Linked DNA regions of Kluyveromyces lactis. The protein of the gene in region 5 binds, or shares a complex with, the protein of the main gene of each other region. Links are inferred from orthologs where the notes say so. Each region holds a gene or a part of one and is shown on either strand. Other genes may lie near its edges.

The links.
Region 1: SNU114 (region 5) and SNU23 share a complex: the UniProt entries of both Saccharomyces cerevisiae proteins name them as parts of the U4/U6-U5 tri-snRNP complex. The link is inferred for Kluyveromyces lactis from reciprocal best matches to the Saccharomyces cerevisiae genes SNU114 and SNU23.
Region 2: SNU114 (region 5) and PRP4 share a complex: the UniProt entries of both Saccharomyces cerevisiae proteins name them as parts of the U4/U6-U5 tri-snRNP complex. The link is inferred for Kluyveromyces lactis from reciprocal best matches to the Saccharomyces cerevisiae genes SNU114 and PRP4.
Region 3: SNU114 (region 5) and SMD1 share a complex: the UniProt entries of both Saccharomyces cerevisiae proteins name them as parts of the U4/U6-U5 tri-snRNP complex. The link is inferred for Kluyveromyces lactis from reciprocal best matches to the Saccharomyces cerevisiae genes SNU114 and SMD1.
Region 4: SNU114 (region 5) and SMX2 share a complex: the UniProt entries of both Saccharomyces cerevisiae proteins name them as parts of the U4/U6-U5 tri-snRNP complex. The link is inferred for Kluyveromyces lactis from reciprocal best matches to the Saccharomyces cerevisiae genes SNU114 and SMX2.
Region 6: SNU114 (region 5) and SNU66 share a complex: the UniProt entries of both Saccharomyces cerevisiae proteins name them as parts of the U4/U6-U5 tri-snRNP complex. The link is inferred for Kluyveromyces lactis from reciprocal best matches to the Saccharomyces cerevisiae genes SNU114 and SNU66.
Region 7: SNU114 (region 5) and SMX3 share a complex: the UniProt entries of both Saccharomyces cerevisiae proteins name them as parts of the U4/U6-U5 tri-snRNP complex. The link is inferred for Kluyveromyces lactis from reciprocal best matches to the Saccharomyces cerevisiae genes SNU114 and SMX3.

Annotation. Positions count from the first base shown.
Region 1 is NC_006041.1:139,308-141,565, forward strand, and holds SNU23 (U4/U6-U5 snRNP complex subunit SNU23), read left to right. Parts: upstream 1-1,197; coding exon 1,198-1,758; downstream 1,759-2,258. Other genes in the region: proteasome regulatory particle lid subunit RPN6, read left to right, coding at 1-167; TPP1 (polynucleotide 3'-phosphatase), read right to left, coding at 261-968; AIM36 (Aim36p), read right to left, coding at 1,949-2,258. UniProt on the Saccharomyces cerevisiae protein: Participates in pre-mRNA splicing. Part of the U4/U5/U6 tri-snRNP complex, one of the building blocks of the spliceosome.
Region 2 is NC_006041.1:426,818-430,157, reverse strand, and holds PRP4 (U4/U6-U5 snRNP complex subunit PRP4), read right to left. Parts: upstream 1,881-3,340; coding exon 501-1,880; downstream 1-500. Other genes in the region: HDA3 (Hda3p), read left to right, coding at 1-444; Rab geranylgeranyltransferase BET2, read left to right, coding at 2,088-3,062; DPB2 (DNA polymerase epsilon noncatalytic subunit), read right to left, coding at 3,140-3,340. UniProt on the Saccharomyces cerevisiae protein: Involved in RNA splicing. Is required for the association of U4/U6 snRNP with U5 snRNP in an early step of spliceosome assembly.
Region 3 is NC_006040.1:320,449-322,641, forward strand, and holds SMD1 (mRNA splicing protein SMD1), read left to right. Parts: upstream 1-1,267; coding exon 1,268-1,693; downstream 1,694-2,193. Other genes in the region: KLLA0_D03740g (uncharacterized protein), read left to right, coding at 1-83; KLLA0_D03751g (uncharacterized protein), read right to left, coding at 73-636; U4/U6-U5 snRNP complex subunit PRP38, read right to left, coding at 1,841-2,193. UniProt on the Saccharomyces cerevisiae protein: lays a role in pre-mRNA splicing as a core component of the spliceosomal U1, U2, U4 and U5 small nuclear ribonucleoproteins (snRNPs), the building blocks of the spliceosome. Also binds telomerase RNA and is required for its accumulation.
Region 4 is NC_006040.1:658,908-660,936, reverse strand, and holds SMX2 (mRNA splicing protein SMX2), read right to left. Parts: upstream 801-2,029; coding exon 777-800; intron 699-776; coding exon 501-698; downstream 1-500. Other genes in the region: GNA1 (glucosamine 6-phosphate N-acetyltransferase), read left to right, coding at 1-376; MDJ1 (Mdj1p), read right to left, coding at 1,343-2,029. UniProt on the Saccharomyces cerevisiae protein: Plays a role in pre-mRNA splicing as a core component of the spliceosomal U1, U2, U4 and U5 small nuclear ribonucleoproteins (snRNPs), the building blocks of the spliceosome.
Region 5 is NC_006037.1:603,700-607,810, reverse strand, and holds the start of SNU114 (U5 snRNP GTPase SNU114), read right to left. Parts: upstream 2,801-4,111; coding exon 1-2,800. Other genes in the region: TPO5 (Tpo5p), read left to right, coding at 2,960-4,111. UniProt on the Saccharomyces cerevisiae protein: Component of the U5 snRNP complex required for pre-mRNA splicing. Binds GTP.
Region 6 is NC_006042.1:799,090-802,612, reverse strand, and holds SNU66 (U4/U6-U5 snRNP complex subunit SNU66), read left to right. Parts: upstream 1-1,349; coding exon 1,350-3,023; downstream 3,024-3,523. Other genes in the region: RNA-processing protein NOP58, read left to right, coding at 1-990; SLY41 (Sly41p), read left to right, coding at 3,462-3,523. UniProt on the Saccharomyces cerevisiae protein: Component of the U4/U6.U5 tri-snRNP particle, one of the building blocks of the spliceosome. Required for pre-mRNA splicing.
Region 7 is NC_006041.1:436,335-438,668, reverse strand, and holds SMX3 (mRNA splicing protein SMX3), read right to left. Parts: upstream 951-2,334; coding exon 948-950; intron 837-947; coding exon 501-836; downstream 1-500. Other genes in the region: GPI-anchor transamidase subunit GAB1, read right to left, coding at 1,270-2,334. UniProt on the Saccharomyces cerevisiae protein: Plays a role in pre-mRNA splicing as a core component of the spliceosomal U1, U2, U4 and U5 small nuclear ribonucleoproteins (snRNPs), the building blocks of the spliceosome.

The DNA.
Region 1 (2,258 bases), on a different chromosome or scaffold from region 5:
TGATTTTAGACAAAGTTTTCTTTGGTGTGCTTGACCAAGGAAACGGATGGCTTTATATTTATGAGACACCACAACAGGATGCCACTTATGATTCTTCGTTAGAATTGATCAATCAACTCAATGGAGTTGTAGAACAACTCTTTGAAAAAGCCGCTGTATTATACTAAAATTAAAAATTCATTATAATACGCTCATCCTTCAATCATTAAAGTAACTTAGTAAATAAATATATTTTACGTAGGTTTAAGATCATTCGAAATTCAAATAAAGTATTCCTCCGGTACCTTGAAAGGTACGCCCAATATTTTAGCAAACTCTTTGTCACTGTCACTAAAATCATTTGGTCTTCCTGCAGCATCCCCGCAGTAAAATAAAAGTTCAATTGAGTCCGATTGTTCGTCAGAATCTTTAAGAAATTCATCAAACAAACCACGATTGGGTTTTCTCACATTATCAAACATTTCAGGTGTTACCATTGTCCCGTTTATTCTTTTCTTCTGGCCAGAAATAATGTTCTTAACAACTTTATTTGCGTGAGCAGTGCTGGCGGCTTTGCTGCCACCAAAAAGGGAAGCTGGTTTTTTAGTAGCACAGTAAATCCAAATACGATCACACAGTTGAGAATCGTTTTCCGATATGTATTTCAATACTTTGCAAATTTTATCAACGTGTTTTACGCAGCTTTTAGAGGTTCTAGGTTCACTAACAACACCGCCTTGGTTGGAGAAGAAGACGATGTGAAAATCTGGTGTTTCCTTCATTTGTGCCGAAAGTTTAGCAAGTACCTCGGTTTTTCCATATTTCATGAATATCCAATCATCTGATGTCCTACTGAATCGGCCTTTAACTGGTTTGATCACGGTGTGATCAAGGTCAAATGAGATGACCTTCCTTACAGGGGCGGGATCTTTGGGAACCCATTTTATGATATGAGGGAGAATGGTAAGCTTATGAGTAGACTGTGACATGATAGCAAACTGTTACAATTAATATGACAATGGCTGACTCCTTTGAAATACTCTTGTACTTTACTAATTTGTAGTTCCATTTATGCCTTCTTTTGAGATGAAATGACTTAAAAGATCCAATATGGAAAACATCAACTAATTTAATGTTGACATGCATAATAAGTTCCATGACCTAGGAAGAGATCAGGTACTGAGTTCTGAGAAGGAGTACTATTCACTATAAATCAATATGTCATTTGGACGAAGAACATGGAATAGAGAAGAGTATGCTGCCAAGGCAGCAACTTCTCCAGGAGGGCAATCTCATCTTTCATCATTAGACCAGGAACAACTGAAAGCTTTAAAAGATAGATACACAGACTACAATGCTTTACTCGAGTATAATCTACGCGACATCAATAAAAAGACGTTATCAGCCAATCTAAGTCAGCAGAAAAAAGGTAAACAGTTCGGGTTTTACTGTGACATATGTGACTTAACCTTCAAAGACACACTACAATTCATTAACCATTTGAATCACAAATCACATGTTGTACGGTTTGAGAACATATTCAACGAGCCATTGATAAAAGATACGAGGGATAATGATCTAGTACCACTTAATGAGGTACGATCCCAGTTTCATAAATCTGTATCAGCATTTATCGGGGACACTGAATTGAGATCCAATAAACGCAAAGCGGCAAAGAGAGTCAAATGTGAGAAATCTGATGCAGAAATCAAATATCAACCACAGTCTGAAATCGGCAGGTTAATGGGTTTCACAGAATTCGGAAGTTCCAAGAAATAACATAAATATTGACGTTTTTATTCGAAGCATATCTACATCCCACTATTCACAACGTACTTCTGCTGAATGGCAATTAGATACTGATGATATTTACAAAGTTTAATCGAGATAAAGTTGGATGGATTGTTATAGGAAGTCCCCAGATATATGCAAAAGGGTGCCGATGGGGAAAATGGCATGAGGGGTCATTTTAGATGGTCTCAACTTTATCCACGGTTTTAAAGTATTTGGAAACCTGGCCGTCTCCTTCTGAATTTGGTACAATAACTTTGTCGATAACGGAAACCTCATTTTCGAACTTGATCGCATCTTTTATATTGTCTGGGAAGTCAAGTAGATAAACAGTGTCACCCTTTTGACATTTCTCCTTCATATATTTACCTATCAAGACGACAGAGAGACCTGTTGGTAGTTTTTCCATGTACGATTTCCCCTCCTTTTCATATAAATCATTTAAAAGCACATAATATTTATCGTCAGACTTATTTCTGAAGAATTCA
Region 2 (3,340 bases), on a different chromosome or scaffold from region 5:
TCAGAAATTAATGATTTAATGACAAAATTAGGGTCTAAAAGCGAACCACATAAGGTTTTGAAGGGTTTACTAGAAGAAATTTCAAACTTGCAAGATGCCCGCGAGAGAGAAAAACGAAATTCGGAGTCTAAATCTTCTGAGAGAACATACATGCAAAAGGAGATAGAAAGAGCCGCTCAATCTGTTGATGAAAGCAACAAAGAACAAGATAAATTAAGAGAAGAAATCAAGCTCTTGAAAACGAAAATAGAGGACAGTGTAGCCGAAAATAAAAAGAAGGTTGCCAGTGCTGAACAGAGAATAGATCTCTTGAAATCACAACTACAACAGGAAGGGCAAAATCTTGGAGGGCTTCATTCTAAACTTGGATATATAACTGATAGACTATCGAAAATTCAACCCAGCAGAGGAAGACAGGCGACTAATGGCCGATCGAAGAAATGATACGTAATTTTAACATCCATAATGATTAACGTTTTTACAAATTTGCGTAGAATTAATTAGACTCCCCATTTGTTAACTGAGCGGTCCCAACCCGCGCTATATATATCAGGACCTACAATATCAATTGACATAACCTTATCAAGATGCCCTTCAAGGCTTCGTTCCTTTATCCAGTTCCCATCATTGAAGATATTTACTTTCTTGTCATATCCACTCGACACTAAATATCCTCCGTTTTGCTTATTGAATTTGACTTGTGAAACAATGCTATTGTGAGCTAAGATCGTTTCCACATTTCCCTTTTTCCTAATATCCCAAACCTTTATAGTCCCGTCACCACTACCAGACGCAAGCTGATATCCATTTTGGGACCAGTCAACGGAATAAATAGGTTTTGAGTGTCCCTGTAATGACATGATATTTTTACCGGACCGTATGTCCCATATTAATGCAATTGCATCCAAACCAGCTGTACTCACCAATGAGCCATCATTGTGAAAAGATAGTGAGAAAACCTCCGCAGAATGACCTTCCTGAATCAAAATAGGGGCTTGTTTCACAGTATCTATCAGGATCCATGTTTTGTCAAAAGACGTACTTCCAATAAAACTATTACATGGATGGCATCGTACTTGGGCAAACCTGGCATCATTTTTATACAAGATCTTAACTGTGGTTTCATCACCACTATCATATATTACAATGCGTCCATCATGGGTACAGACAAAAATGTTTTTAGAGTCCACGCTCCAATCCAATCCACTAATCTTTGTGCCAGATAAAGATCTATTGCAGTAGATTTTGGACAACGAATTATCGACCAGAGACAAATTTCCGGACCAACTGCCACAAGCCATCAGGTCTCCACCAGGAGAAGTATTAATTTCAGAAATAGGTTTCTCATCTATCACCTGCATTCCCTTCAAAGAGAACTGTTTCAATTTACTTTCCAGGTCCCTTCGCTTACTTATGACGTTTTTCACATTTTGGCTGACAAGTCTTCGTCTCTCCTCCTCAAGCCTCAGCTTAGAGCGTTGCATAGAGTATATTATAAGAAACTTCCTCATTTCTATCAACTGCTGTGATGCTGGAGTGTAGAACTCCTCGTCTTCATCATCTACTTTACTTCTTTCAGTATCGATTTTCGTCTGGTCTTTGGAAGTTGACTCTACTAACCTTGTAACTCGTTCTCTGGCTTTTGGATCGCTAAGAATAAGATCAGAAAGTCGATCTCTGCGAGAATAATTATCTTCGCCAGCGATATCAACGGGCTCTCCCACTAGCTCTAGTGCTCGTCTAACGTCTGTATCTAGAGTAGGCACAATTTTGAGCCTTTCTTGCCTTTGGAATTCCAATCTTTTCAGAGCATCTCCGACTGATTGCCCATCCTGGTTTTTGTAGTCAACATCTACCTGCAAATCATCTAATTCTACCATTAGAAGTTACTGCAGATAGTCCAAAGGTGAGTTGTTACCGGTGCCACTTTTTTGATTTCATCTCTTTATCATCTCACTTCTTTAAAAGCATATTCATAAAATGAACTTTATCGTTATTCCTGAATATGAATAGTTCAAAAGTTGGAAAACAAGTGAGGTACTCCATCGAGTAAAAAGGGTCTGAAGCTAGGCGTCGATCGAACGATCATGAGTGAACAGCAGTTGTTAAGAGATAAACACATTGATTATATTGCGTCTTTAGATACTAAGAAAGATGATCTAGAGTACTGGCTCTCAGAACATCTAAGGTTGAATGGGGTATACTGGGGATTGACAGCCCTCTATCTCCTTGATTCTATCGAAACATTCAATAAGGAGGATGTAATACAGTTTGTCCTAAGCTGTTGGGATCATAAAACTGGTGGGTTTGCTGCGTTTCCAAGACATGATGGTCATCTATTAACGACTCTTTCAGGGCTTCAGATTTTGGCTACTTACAACGCTTTAGAGCGCTTGGGTTCAGAGAAGCAAGAACAATTGGAAAAATTTATCCTATCCAATCAAAAAGCAGACGGCTCATTCCAAGGTGATAGTTTTGGTGAAGTCGACACACGTTTCGTATATACTGCATTGAGCTGTTTGTCCATTTTACACAAATTGACGAAAGAAGTTGTAGAACCAGCAGTTTCGTATATCCTTAGATGTTACAATTTCGATGGCGGATTTGGCTTAAATCCTGAAGCAGAATCTCATGCTGCTCAGGCATTTACTTGCATTGCTGCTTTAGCAATCGTCGGAAAATTAGACTCTTTAACTCCAGCTCAGCAGGAGAATATTGCTGTTTGGCTCTCAGAAAGACAAGTTCCAGAGGGGGGCTTAAATGGTAGGCCAAGCAAACTGCCCGATGTATGCTATAGCTGGTGGGTATTATCAACACTTTCAATACTCCAAAAAGCTGATTGGATTGATTTTCCCAAGCTAACGGAGTTCATTTTGCATTGTCAGGATCCCAAAAATGGAGGGATTAGTGACAGACCAGACAACGAAGTCGACGTATTTCACACGGTTTTTGGTCTAGGAGGATTAAGTATAATGAAGTATCCAGGATTAAGAGATATTGATCCAGTATACTGTATGCCATATACGGTGACGAAATATTTCCAACGCAAGTACTCAGATTAGTGTCTTAGAAACTTAAATAAATTATGAATGCTAACGACCGCAAAAAGTAGGTCCACAAGTAGTTTAATATTGATAAATTAAAATGGTAGCTCTTCCTCTACTAGAACCTTAGAAGCAGGGAAGAATTCTATATATTTGGCAGCTCTTTTGTGAATAAATCTACCGGGGTTGATCGTTTTGCATCCGTTGTACGTTACATCGAAAGCTGGTGCGCTAGTGTCACACAGCATGATACTCGATGGAAGCGGTGATAGCTGCAATGTGAAATCAAGATCCCA
Region 3 (2,193 bases), on a different chromosome or scaffold from region 5:
AAGAGAATTTGCGGAGAGAGATTCTTTCCTTGAAGAATGAAAGTAATATTTTATCAGAATGGATCAAGACCCTTATTTCTTGAATTTCTTCAAATAAATATTCTGAGCCGTACCCAGAATTGCGTATGCCAAACTAAAAAATACGGACCATTTATCTGGTGAAATGTATCTTTGAGCAATTGACATCAATACCGTTGATGTTGCCAAGCTGGAAGACAACATTGCCGCATATCTTGTCTTGATTGCGTGTATAATTTTTGTTTTGTCAACCTTACCGTTGTTAACAGAAGTCAAGGTAAATAGTAACCCTAACACTTGAATAGGCGATACCATGCCTAATGAGCAGCCTAACTGGACCAAGCTTCTATATTTGGATACCACTTTCCTAATTGTGTATTCGTTTATCCATTTGTAACTGAAATGATTAACTGGTGCGTTAAATAGACCACCATATAGACTCATCAATGCCACTTTGATCCAATTTAGCTTCTCTTTTCTTTCCTCTGGAGACAGACTAACCCATTGACTGAACAGTTCGCTTAACCCAGTTAATACCGCGCCTGTTATGCATTTAGTTAATAACGGGTTACGTTTGAGTAAAATATTATATCTCTTCAAGATTACTGATGACGACATGTTTACTCTTGGCGTTAATCTTTAATACTCCCAATCTCTCGATGCGAGCAGCAGTAACCTTGAAAGCTTGCGATCCATGAGATATGAAAAGAGTAATATCTGACTTTAACATCTATATATATATATATATATATATATCCAGATTTTATCAAAGCAATGACTGACAGAACGTTTTGTTATCGCTTGCATGGATAGTTTCTTATCGCACTTCTCCGTGTATCTGTTAACCATTTAACATGAGATGCAACGGATCTAAATACTTTTTGGGTTCCATGTAAGATTCGAACACATGCTCGCTCGAATGTAAGAAACCATTGGAATCTCACGCAAATGAGTTACCCTGTTAAGGCACGTGATAATATGAAATTTCCACTCTTTTCCAGGAAAGAACGACCCCATTGATTCTTGAGTATCAATTTGAACCATTTCATCCATCATTATGTAGAATATGTCAATTGAGTAACTACGATCAAATCCTGATCTTTTATCAAAATCAGGAAGTTGCTTGTGGATCATCTGTTACTTTTGCAAAATTCAAAACTCTTTTTCATCAAAACCATTTGAAACTGGTAACAGCTTTCTGGTGTATCTTTAGTCCGATTGAAACAACGAAGTTTTATATACAGACAAAATGCAGTTAACAGGGTTCTTAAAGAAACTAAAGAATGAAAGGGTGTCTATAGAGTTGAAGAATGGTACCACTGTTTGGGGAATAGTGAGGAGTGTGTCACCGCAGATGAACGTCTCTCTTACTGACGTCAGGCTGACACTCCCTACTAAGACCTCAGAAGCTACCTTGGCTGCCGTCTTATTGTCAGGTGGATCGACACAAGGACAAGAATCTAAGAGAACAACTAGCCTCGAGTTCATCAACATTAGGGGTAATACGATAAGGCAGATTATTTTACCAGATAGTATCAATTTGGATGCGTTGCTTGTAGACCAACAGGAAGTCAACAGGTTGAGGAAACAAGGTAAAGTGGGAAGTGATCCGAATAAGAAGAGATCACTTGAGAGTAACGGGAATGCTCCTAAACGTCCAAAGAGGGCATTTTAATATACATCAGAAAACATATGTGGAAATAAATATGTAGTGATGTTATGGACTTTGTTTTGATGAATGATTAAACACTATTGATAATTATCTTTCATAATGAATAGCCGTTCTTTCCAGTCGATGCCTCCAAAAAAAGAAAGAATGGAATCAAATTTGATCACTGTCATCTCTTGGATCAGAGCTGGAGTCCGAGTCGCTTGAGCTCTCATCGTCCTCTTCATCGTCCCATATTTTACACCAATTGCATTTTCCTAAGGGGATGCCCCAAATTTCATTCCTGTCGCATAACCAGTCTATCAACTCATCGAAATGTATCAATTTAATCTCTTTTTTAATCGATGATGACCAACAATCCATATCTAACGAGTAACTTTTTAATTTTCTATGATCAAGTATATATTTCTTCATTAAATCATGTAATAAATTGAACGATATATCTTGCTCGGAAGGATTACTCTCAGTTAAGAAATAATACGAGATTCTCATATAACATAATACCA
Region 4 (2,029 bases), on a different chromosome or scaffold from region 5:
TGGTGATGTGAGCCAAGATCAATTCCATTCACTAATAGACCATTGGGATTCAGTCACGATAGGAGATATACCTATGTACAATAGCACTGTGATCGTTGACACAAATGGGGAAGTTGTCGCCACAGGAAACGTGCTAGTCGAGAAAAAAGTTATTCACGAATGTGGGCTTGTTGGTCATATTGAAGACATTGCAGTGAGAAAAGATCAACAGGGGAAGAAATTGGGATTGATATTAATTCAGTATTTATACAAATTAGCTAACGAGTATGGATGCTATAAAGTTATTCTTGATTGTGATGAAAGTAATGTTGGATTCTATGAGAAATGTGGATTGAAAAAAGCTGGTGTCGAAATGCAAATCAGATTCGACAAATGATGTTGTAACCAGTGTGCGCTCTATCATATCTATCCTTCCTTTCTACTAGCATAATTCATTGTACGTAAATGTCACTAAGTAAAGTGTTCCGACACATTGAGTTGTATTTGTCTCCCTTCTGCTCTTACAAACTGTCAAGAGGTTCTATCGATACAATGGAGTTACCTCTAACAACAGTCTGGGGTCCCATTTGGACCTCTCCTTCTTCGAAAATCTGTATTGGATTATCCAGTACTAAGTTCAAAAATGCATCATATCCTCGTAATATTCCAATAATTTTCCTATTGCCGTTAAGCTGTAGAATGAGTTTCTTGTCCATGTACTGTTTGCAACGAATCATATTATAGTTAGTAATTTAAATTCTGATAAGATTTTTCCTGGAAAACAGGGGTAAACATACTTTTCTCAAATCTGGAGATGTCATGGAATATTGGATGGTTTATAATGGGTCGTACGGAAGTGATAAGTCGTAGATATAGTCTCTTAACTCTTGGCAAAAGTCCTTCGAAATTTATCTTCAGTATATTTCAATTGATGAATTTTGTACATAATTATGCTTTTTCCATTCAAAAGTAATTTTCAATGTCACAATGTTAAGAAGACAACGATGGTCAGAATAAGTTACTAAAGCATATCGACCCTTACTGAAAACATTCGTTGTCATTGGCATGAATTTCAATCCCGAGCTAAATATGGTAAGTAGGGATAACTAGTAAGAGAATATCAAAACGATAAGTATTATGCGCTAAGTGCAATTATATATATATATAGGGAAATTGGTATTTACATGATGTTAAAGGGTTTTATAAAATAATGTGCAGTATATGCAATTACTGGCTATGACTGCTGTAAGTGGTACATGAATAATGAGAATGCCAATGTCGTAATTAGTTCATCCAATCAAAGAATTATGAAAGAATGAAGGTGGAATGTATGACGGGAGAGCATATATGCGATTTAAGGATTTCATTCCCCTCTGATCTTCTTTAAAGTGTTAGACAAGAAATTTTCCAATTTCTTGATGGTTCCTTCATTGTTTTCAACTGTGTCTTTATCAGCAGAGGAAGAGTTGTCCTTAGCCGACGATCCAGAGGGAGTAATGGTCCTTCTTGCAGTGGTATCATTGGTCAAGTGGGCCAAGGTCTCCCATAGATAACGTTCTGTTTCATCCTTTGGTTTTTTGATAACAATCTTGAACTTGACAAGCATGTCACCCCTGTCACCTCTAGCTCCACGAGGGACACCCTTATTTGGAATTCTGATGACTTGATCGTGTTGAGTACCAGAGCTGACCTTCAATCTGATCTTTTCTTCCTCTACGGTGGGTACTTCAATGACGCCACCTAGTGCTGCCGTTGTAATTGGGATTTCCTGAGTGTAAATGATGTCGTAATTATTTGAAACTTGGAATCTTGTGTCTTTCCTGACTCTGACACGAATCAACAAATCGCCTCTGGTTAAATGCAATTCAGATTTCATGGACGGATCGATAGCCATACCGGGGTAACTACCTTGGTTAGGTACTCTAATTGTGTCACCGTCCTGAAGTCCGTGAGGTAAGTCTACGGTGATAGTTTTATTTGAATTCAATTTGAAACCGTGGCTATGACAGGTACCACATTTATCGCTGTCCTTAATAGTTGAACCCTCACC
Region 5 (4,111 bases):
ATACAAATCGTTTTTGTTGCAACTTCTTGAATAGATCTTGATCAATGTATTTCTTTAATGATGGCCCGTCTTGAGTCATGTGACCACTTTCAGATAAACCCTTGCGACGTCTTGTCTTCATCACAAAGTCCCTGCTTAGGCTTGCAGCAGGCGCTGGTTTCAACTTCGGTATGAAGGCTTCTTCGTCAAGTACGTCACCTGGCACTTTTCTCCATATTTTATTCCAAAAGTGCATTTGACACATTCCGCTACCGGCGGTCGCAACACGAAGATCTGTCTCAAATCCAATCGACTCGATGACAGGTAATTGAGCCTTTATTTCTATGAATGGTGATGCCACTATCTTTTCTGTCTTGTAAATTCTTCCACCTCTGCGTCTCTTCAATAAATTCTGAATCACAGACTCCAATACCCCCGATACGATAATATCGACTTCATAGATGGGTTCCATGATAATTGGAGTAGCAGACATTAGCGCAATGTAACATGCCTTTCTCGTCATTGGCACTAGTTGAGATGGGATGATATCTTCGATGCTGTCTTCTTGTACCTTGAATTGCAAGAGTTTAAATTGGCATGCATGGATTGTTTCATCAGCCAATGGTCCTTCTTTCACAGCCCATTCAAACCCTTGTAAAATGTTTTCTTTATATTTCTTGAGTAGTTGCTTATCCGTTTCATCAGGTAGAGTATCGTCAATGAATACATTACATTTTGATAAATCCCAGCAGTTTCTAGCTGCCAATGAGTCCCATCCATACTCGGTTCTTAGACGTTTGGAGAACTTTCTCATGTTATTCAATTCTGAACTGTCGATTTCACCATGCGTCAAATCGTGTACTATCTTTCCATCTAATTTTTCGGCCATAACGCTGAGTGATACTACACCGTTGTTTGACTTTACAGGAATTGACGCGAACGATTCGTTCTGACAACTTTCCGTGAATTGCACAAGCGGTTGGCTTACTTTGATCTCAATTTCACAGAATTTTTTCCGTAATTCGTCCATCACGCAATCAAGGTAAAGTTCTCCTGTTCCAATTATGATGTTTTCGCCGCTTTCTTCAACTCTAACCACTAATGCAGGGTACAATTCGTTTGCTTGTTGAAGACCGTTCAATAGTCTCGGTAGTTCACTTGGTTTCTGAGGCTGTATGGCGAATTTGAACACCGATTCGTTGAGATAGTTAATTGGTGCTAGCGGGTTCATCAAGCTCGAAGACAAAGTTGCATATTTCGTATACTGATCTTCAAAACCTTTTAAAAGTACAATCTGTCCTTTTATTGCTTCCTCGAGTTCGTAGACATACCTACCTCCCATTAAGGCTACACGCTCAATAGTAACCTTGGAGTATTCATCATCACCAAAATCTACTACAGAGTCTACGGACTCATTGAAAATATAGAGTTTGTTGCCTTTTTTCACTGAGCCCTCTATTATCCGACAAAGGGACCACTTGGAACCTTCCAGGCTCATGTGTCTCAATACATGTACAACAGTGCTTTCATCGGATGATAAGTTGTTGATTTTGTGGTCCTGTGTTGAAACAATAGCATCGATGAAGCAGTGATAGTGCGGTAGTATAGCATGAAACACGCTAAAAAGTAGCGGCTGAGGATCCTTTGATAGAATCTCATCTGAAAGCCTGATTTGAAAATTGGTTTCGATGACTGTTCTTAGTTCTTCCTCGGATGCAGATAATGTATGAGTGAAAACCTTGTATAAAGGTTGTAAAATAAACTGAATGAATGCAATGTTGTCCGTAATAAATTCTGTTTGGTAGAATGCTCCTTCTCTGTAATTAATTTGACCCCAAAGTTGAGCAGCAAATTGTTCTGTCTTATCCTTTAACGATTTAGCGTAAAATGAGTTCACAAAAGACTCCACAGAGAATAAGAATCCAAACTTGGTACTGGCAAAGAGTACATTACCTAGCTCCGGTGAGAATCTTTCTTTGGTATATGTGTTTATTTCGTTCACGATATATTGTAGTTTGCTGTATGCGTCTGTAGGAGGAAGTCTCAAATCCAAAATTAATCTATCAATTTTGTTAAGAACGATGATAAAGGGGATCCCATTACTTATCAATTCTCTTATCAGTTTGGAAACTACAGAAGTAATTCCTTCTATCACATCAACGATGATTACACCATATTGGCAAGCAGTCAAAGCAATACCGACATCGTCCCAAAAATTTACATGTCCAGGTGTGTCCAACATCGTCACTGCATACGTACGTCCTCTTGACGATTCATATGCAAACGACATACCATTCAATCTAAGCGAAATACCACGTTCCTTTTCTATCCTCGCTTGGTCGAGGTACCTAAACGGTACCCATCCCTCCTTAACTTTTTTTGTCAAGGACGGAAGATTGCGATGAGTATCTAACGCAAACATATCCGTGAAAGAAGTCTTACCACAATGTAGCGCCCCGAAAATTCCAACATTTAACTGACGTTCTGGTATCGAGAAAAGGCTTTTCAAGTACCCTCTGTCAAATAGTGCTTTAGGTACTTTCCTGTTAACAGCTTCGCTATATGATTTCGAATCGTCCCCAATCAATGGTTTCTCAGGTTCTCTATCTTCCACTTCCAACAAAACTTCAACATCATCATCGAAATCACGGTTCACATCTCGAAGTACCACATCGGTAGAGTCAGCCTCGACTATCTTTTGCCGTAATTCATGTTGAGCTTCCTGCTCTCCTACTTCTTCCAAACTATCATCATCAGAATCGATTAATTGCATTGGATCCCCAATGAAATTACCGAACTCATCGTACAAATCTTCATCCATTATTGTATTTCCTTCCAAAAGTACTCAGTGCTGAGTCACGTCACCCAAATCGCAGTAGTCTTCCCTAAGAGCAATGCATGTGCTTATCATTCTATCTTCATTACTCGAAGCTTTGACTTTCGTCAACATTTACATAATGTCTAAGAACTGAAAATATCGATGAGCCCTCGAAAAGACAGACATTTTGCCAAGACGGATGCCGAAAGGGTTCTAGGAAATAAAAAGGGTGAGCTTACCAAGGGGTCACACAGAGCCGAACTGCATTTTGAAATGCCTGAATACATCTGGCTTTCTAATCTTAACGGGAACATACACATTCCCGAGCGATTGTTGTCTTTATTGAACGAGGAAGACCAGGATATTCCCGATGAGGTTAAAGAGTTTACATATGTACAGCAACTTGACAAGAATTTACTTTCGCGGACTTCTGTTATTGGTCTAGGGTTTGGGTTGATGAGTCCCGTACTTGGTATGAGCACTACTATGAGTATTGGATTGCTAAATGGTGGATCTCCATCGATAATATTTGGGTATCTGATATGTGGGATAATGACGTGGATTAGTTCACTGTCGCTCAGTGAGATAGTCTCGAAGTACCCCATAGAACTTCACGGTGCAGCGGCCATGCTTGCGCCTGGCAGACTTCGGTTGCGTATGTCTTGGTACTGTGGTTGGCTAATGTTGTTTGGAAGTTGGACGATGAGCACTAGTATTACGTTTGCGGGTGCACAATTGATTATTTCTTTGCTGACAATGACTAATGAATCTCTGATAGACTCCCGGTGGTTGACGTTATGGACTGTGCTAATGTTTTATCTCATTGTGACTGTGGTTGGAGTCATTAATCTAAAATTTTCAAGTTTCATTGAAACTATCAATAAGGTCTGTGTTTACTGGATCTTATATGCGATATTATTCACAAGTACACTTCTCCTATTATTCCAACCAAACCATAGATCATTCAAGGATGTCTTTACCAAATTCGATAATAGTTTGTCGGGGTATAGTTCTATGGCCTTGTCATTTTTAATTGGAGGGTTTCAGCAATCTAATTTCACTTTCCAAGGGTTTGCGATGTTATCGGCATTATCTGACGAAACTGAGAAACCAGAGAAAGATATTCCTTACAGTATGACACGCTCTGTGATAATCTCACTAGTTTCCGGACTATTTTTCTTGATCCCAATGATGCTCATTCTACCTGATGTCTCTGAGGTAATGAATCATGAAGGTGTCATGCCCATCGTGCTTATCTTCACAAAATCTACTAAATCGTTATTCGTTTCCATCTTCCTTGTTCTATTGATCTTG
Region 6 (3,523 bases), on a different chromosome or scaffold from region 5:
AGATGTAAGGAATGGTACGGTTGGCATTTCCCAGAATTGGCCAAGATTGTTACTGATTCTGTTGCTTACGCCAGAATAATCTTGACCATGGGTATTAGAGTTAATGCTGCTGAAACTGACATGTCTGAAATTTTGCCTGAAGAAATTGAAGAGAGAGTCAAGACCGCTGCCGAAGTCTCCATGGGTACTGAAATTACCCCAGTTGATTTGATTAATATCAAGTGTTTAGCCGAACAAATTGTTGAATTTGCTGCCTACAGAGAACAACTTTCTAACTATTTGTCTTCAAGAATGAAGGCTATTGCTCCAAATTTGACTCAATTAGTTGGTGAATTGGTTGGTGCTAGATTGATCGCACACTCTGGTTCTTTAATCTCTTTGGCCAAGTCTCCAGCTTCCACCATCCAAATCTTGGGTGCTGAAAAGGCTCTTTTCAGAGCATTGAAAACTAAGCATGACACTCCTAAATATGGTCTATTGTACCACGCTTCCTTGGTTGGCCAAGCATCTGGTAAGAACAAGGGTAAGATTGCCAGAGTTTTGGCTGCTAAGGCTGCCGTTTCTTTGCGTTACGATGCTTTGGCTGAAGATAGAGACGATTCTGGTGACATCGGTTTGGAATCCAGAGCTAAGGTAGAATCAAGATTGTCCCAATTAGAAGGCAGAGACTTGAGAACCACACCAAAGGTCGTCCGTGAGCACAAGAAGACTGAAATCACAGAGGCTAGAGCATACAACGCAGATGCTGACACCGTGTCTTCAGCTGCTGCTCCTGCTGACTCTGATGATGAATCCGAGGACGAGGAAGAAACCAAGGAAGAAAAGAAATCTAAGAAGGATAAGAAGGATAAGAAGAGAAAGAGAGACGATGATGAAGAGTCTAAGGAATCTAAGAAGTCTAAGAAGGAGAAGAAAGACAAGAAGGAAAAGAAGGAAAAGAAGGAAAAGAAAGAAAAAAAGGATAAGAAATCTAAGAAGGAAAAGAAATAGATATAGTATTCACATTAAAACCCCACTCTTTTGCATTAAATCTCTAATAACCTCGTATAAATCTGTTCCATTACATACGAACATACTATGTGTGTACCTCTGTAAATTAGTCTGTATCAAATTCAAACAAAATATAATAATTGAATTATTGTCATACGCTGTACTCTTCTTCTCATTGTCATCGTCAATGGCTTTGATAGTTACATCAAAATATTCACTGATGAAAATGTTGAAATATACAATTCTTAAATTCGGACAAGTTGGCGATGAGATGAGGCAGAAAGAAAGCAACAGGATTTGATAATAAGGATATTCGACCACAATACGAATTCTACGAGGCATACAGTTACTTCAAAGCCATGGGTAAGATTACTTCTATATCTTTGGAAGAAACAAATCGAATTAGGGCAAGTTTAGGTTTGAAGACTATACCTAGGCCCACTGAGACGTCAACAGAATCAAAAGAAGGTGCATCTGATACAAATAGGAAAGTACGAAGATCTAGTCAGCTAAGTTCACGTCCCTCCGAAAAGGATTGTGCTTCTGGAAAAATAAATGGAAGCGCTCAAGATCGTGATAAAAAGATTGGTCAACTAAAACAAAGAATATATGAATCAAAGGAAGCAGTGGACCAAAGAGCGACTACTGATAAAGAATCTATTGATGACTGGCTTTCCAAAATTGGGAAACCTATCACTCACAAAGAATCTTCTGCTGAAAATGCTACTGTACATGATGACATTACGCATCACCATATCCCAGTATCAGATGAACTGAAATCTATTGCTGAACAGAAAGCAGTCATTTTTACATTGAAAGAAACTTCAGTGACAAACGACGAAGAGAATATTGATGACGAAAACATATTAGAGAATGAGAAGCTAGTTCATGATAAACAGGATGCCAAAAATCTTAAGCTACGGCAATTGAATAAAGATAGAAAACTAAACAAAATCTCCATCTTTGATTACAGCGATGAGGCTAATGATACAAACTCAAGATCTGACATACCATTACACGACTCCTTAGTAAATGATAAACCATTACCTGTTCACCAGTCTCTCCCTAAGAGGGTCAAAATTGAAAGTGACTCAGATGATGAGCAACCATATCAAGATTACGCACCAGTCAAGATTAAAAGGCGAAAGAAGAAATCAAATCAAAACCAGAAACCGAGAAGAATAGACACAGCGAGAATGGTGAAAGTTGATCTTTTGGAAGATGATGAGGATTTCTCAGACCGGCCAATTCAGGCAGTTGTCAAAGTCAAACAGAAACGCAGTAATGAGGAAATAACAGGGATAAAGAATTCATTGGAGTTGGAAAAACTCGAAGGACAGCAAAGAAGCAAAGGAATTCATATGTTGAACAATAGTGATAAAGGAATTCTTCTGGATGAAACCGATGAATTTTTGGATTCTTTGAAGGCGAACGTTCTTGACAGAGAACCTGTTAATGATGATTTGCCCATAAAAATCGATTTGAAACCAGTGCAAAAAGATAAAACGGGAACTATTCCAGCAACATTAGTCACCGATAACGATATCACGCAACCTGATTTCTCAGGAGGTGTGGCAGGAATGTTGAACTTCTTGAAGGAACGAAATATAATTAAGCAAGACGATCGCCCCAATATGGGAAGCGACAGTAAAAAACACGGAACGGATGTCAGGAAAGAGTTTGAGATCTTAAACGGCATTGTGAATTCCCTTAAGACTGTTGACGAAAAGTTGGACTCCAATGATGTAAACTTTTCTGAGGACGAATTGCGTAAGATTAAAGCTGCGCAAGCGGAAGAAATGGCATTGAAAATTCAACGTATACAAGAGGAAAAACTAAGAGACTACAACCCAACGGTCGAACTCGCATATCAGGATTCCGAGGGTAATGAGTTGAAAACTAAAGAGGCCTATAAACAACTTTCTCAAGCATGGCATGGGACAAAATCCAGTAAGAAGACTTTGGAAAGACAACGGAAGAAAATGGCGGACAGAAAGAAACAATTGGAAAGAGACTCATACTTGGGACTATAGAACCTTACATATCACACTTATTCAAAGTAATTAGAGTTAAAACCTATGGCATTTTGAATTGACGCTTCCTAGAAAATTGTCTTGCTCTGCCCACAGCAATCACGAGCTAGCACCATTCTGCAGAGAACCCTTTGTGCTTGGCTTTCCACGTGACTGCCAAAAAACGTTAACAACGTCAGCAAGCAAAAACATCACATCGGTCAGAAAGAAAGAAAAAAGACTGGAAATATATAATATAATAACATGGCATCAATTTTTGGCGACTTGTAATAGAAAGAGATACTTCTTACATAGTGACAGTCGGCTCTAAAATCGCTGCTCGCTCCATAAAGTAACAGTTCTTTTCGATCTATTCTATCGTTTGCTAAATTATTCTCATTCAACTTCGTTCCACTCGCTTTATTGATTTTAAGAAGGTGTGAATAAAATAAGCGAAAAATGATTGTAACTTCCAAGAGCGTCACTTCGAAGCGCCGTCCTTCGATCAATAAAACATTTTC
Region 7 (2,334 bases), on a different chromosome or scaffold from region 5:
AATGCTGCCACTCCATTTCATATAGAAGATGTTATAGATAAAAACCTTAAGAATGAAGCGGTGGCTCAATGGTAGAGCTTTCGACTCCAGTTAAATCCTGGAAATTTCTATGGAAACAAAATTGCAATCGAAGGGTTGCAGGTTCAATTCCTGTCCGTTTCATTTTTGCATTTTTTTTGGAAATCACTACCCCAACTCAACTGGAAAACTAGTAAGCAATAAGAAATCCATGGTGGCTGGAACAGCTGTTACACCGTGAACGAGACCTTCTTGGAATGAAAAACATAAGGTATTAATCTCTAGAGATTTTTTTAGAATGAGCCTTTGAATTGTAAAACCTACATAAACTATACTATCATTAATTATACTAATACTAATATTCCCTTTATTAAGATAAGCAGTTCCCTAATTCTATTACAACTGAGGAAAGCTATACAGTGAATCCATAATTATTCCGATGTTTCCTTGTTTGCTTCAATAATATTCAGACTAGTGCTATATTAATTCGCTTCTTCTGCGAGTTCTCCATTTTCCTCTTTATCGTCAGATTTCTCTGTTGTTCCAGTCGGCGTAGGGGGTTGATCACTTTGCTTGTTCACATCCTCTCCTACGTATAGCACGTTATTACATCTGATGAAAATGTCCCCAACTTTCCCACTTGAGACATCATTTATGATCTCTTCCGCATCTGTTAGTTGTAGATTGAAATATGTATCTACCGATACAAGTCTTCCTTTATATTGTATTTTATTGAATTTGAGTGTCACCAGCACATCTTTGTCTATCAATTGATGTAAAAAGGGTTTAGGGTTAATTGGTTTGAATTCCTCTGGATCCTGCAACGTTTAAATTGGTTAGTAAGGTGACAAAATCTGTGGATTCATCGATCGCAGATGGACATAATCGTCCTAGCTGCGACCAAAAAAGTATGGAACAAGAAAACTTACCATTTCAATACGTTAATGCGCGGGTGTTCTGATATGTATCGATTACACGATATAATTCGAGAATCTGTTAAAGGTTTTATTACGTCTGTTGGTTGCTACGTAATGTTTTCGTTGTCTATCTTTTTGCAATACTGTATTTTCATGTTTTTCAATATGGCATGGAAATATTAGATGCCCTACCAAGGGAACAAATAAAACAAACCAAAGTAGTCCGGACAGTTTTCAAAAGTTTTTATGCCATGCACTGGGTAAGTCATACTTAGATATATATTAAATAATGACAATACGATATGTTTCTTCCAACAGAAGGAACAGGGTTCATTCAAATTTGAGTCAGTTTTAATGAAAGGTTTGGTTTACCTGAATCGTATTCAATTCTTAACATGGCCCACGTCAAATCCACAATCACTGACGAGATGGCTAACGCATAAACCAAAGAAATGGCATAGAAAAAGTTACTATTACCGGAGCCTAATCCAATCCATAGGTAGTAGAAGATTGGTGACAAAATGATGGCATGAATGAATAAAAGGGTTGATATGACTGGATATCTTAGATACCCAAAGATCGGTTTGAAAAATGGGATAAAACTTAAGAAAAACCCTCCGTCACCTAACGTTGGGTATGATTTGGTGAGCGTAATCCAACCTAGACATAGAACAAATGCGTAAAACGATTGCTGATTGAATCTAATAGTGAAAGGTGGGATAAATGAAACAACAAATATGTTGAACACAGATTTGAAAAATGGGATGAAAAATTCGAACATTTCAATAAAGAAATACCACCACAACCCTAGATTTGGCCTTATCTTACTGAAAGTAATCAATATCCAGTATGTTGAAGTCAAATAGTTCCAGTTATCGTTATTTAACTTGAAACTGATCAACTGCAAAACAATCGATACCAATGTACACTTGACAACAAGGCCGAAAGAATTTGATCCACAGATTCCTGCCAATGGGATCAACAGTAGATAAGCGTAAGGTGATAAATAACCAGCCAACGCAATGCATATGGCTGACAGTGAGAACTGTCTAGATAACGCAAATAGTAAAGAAGTAGAAATGGAAAGGTTCACAAATAGACATGTCGATTGTGAGACACATGATAAAAGTACCAAAGGGTTCACTGCATAAACCACACCTGGAATATAACTAGGAATTTGCAATTGGCGTTGATATATCTTAGCTATTTGCATCAATTGATACGCTATTAGAGTGTCCATGGCCGCAAACAAAACGGGCATTAGAAACTCCGCTTGTTGAACGAATGCCATTAAAGCTACCAGCAGAGGCACATGATGCACAACACCACCATCATAAATGGGCAAATTATGCAGTAAAAGATACGCACCTTCTTGCAGAGATCTATAGCTTGTAACCGG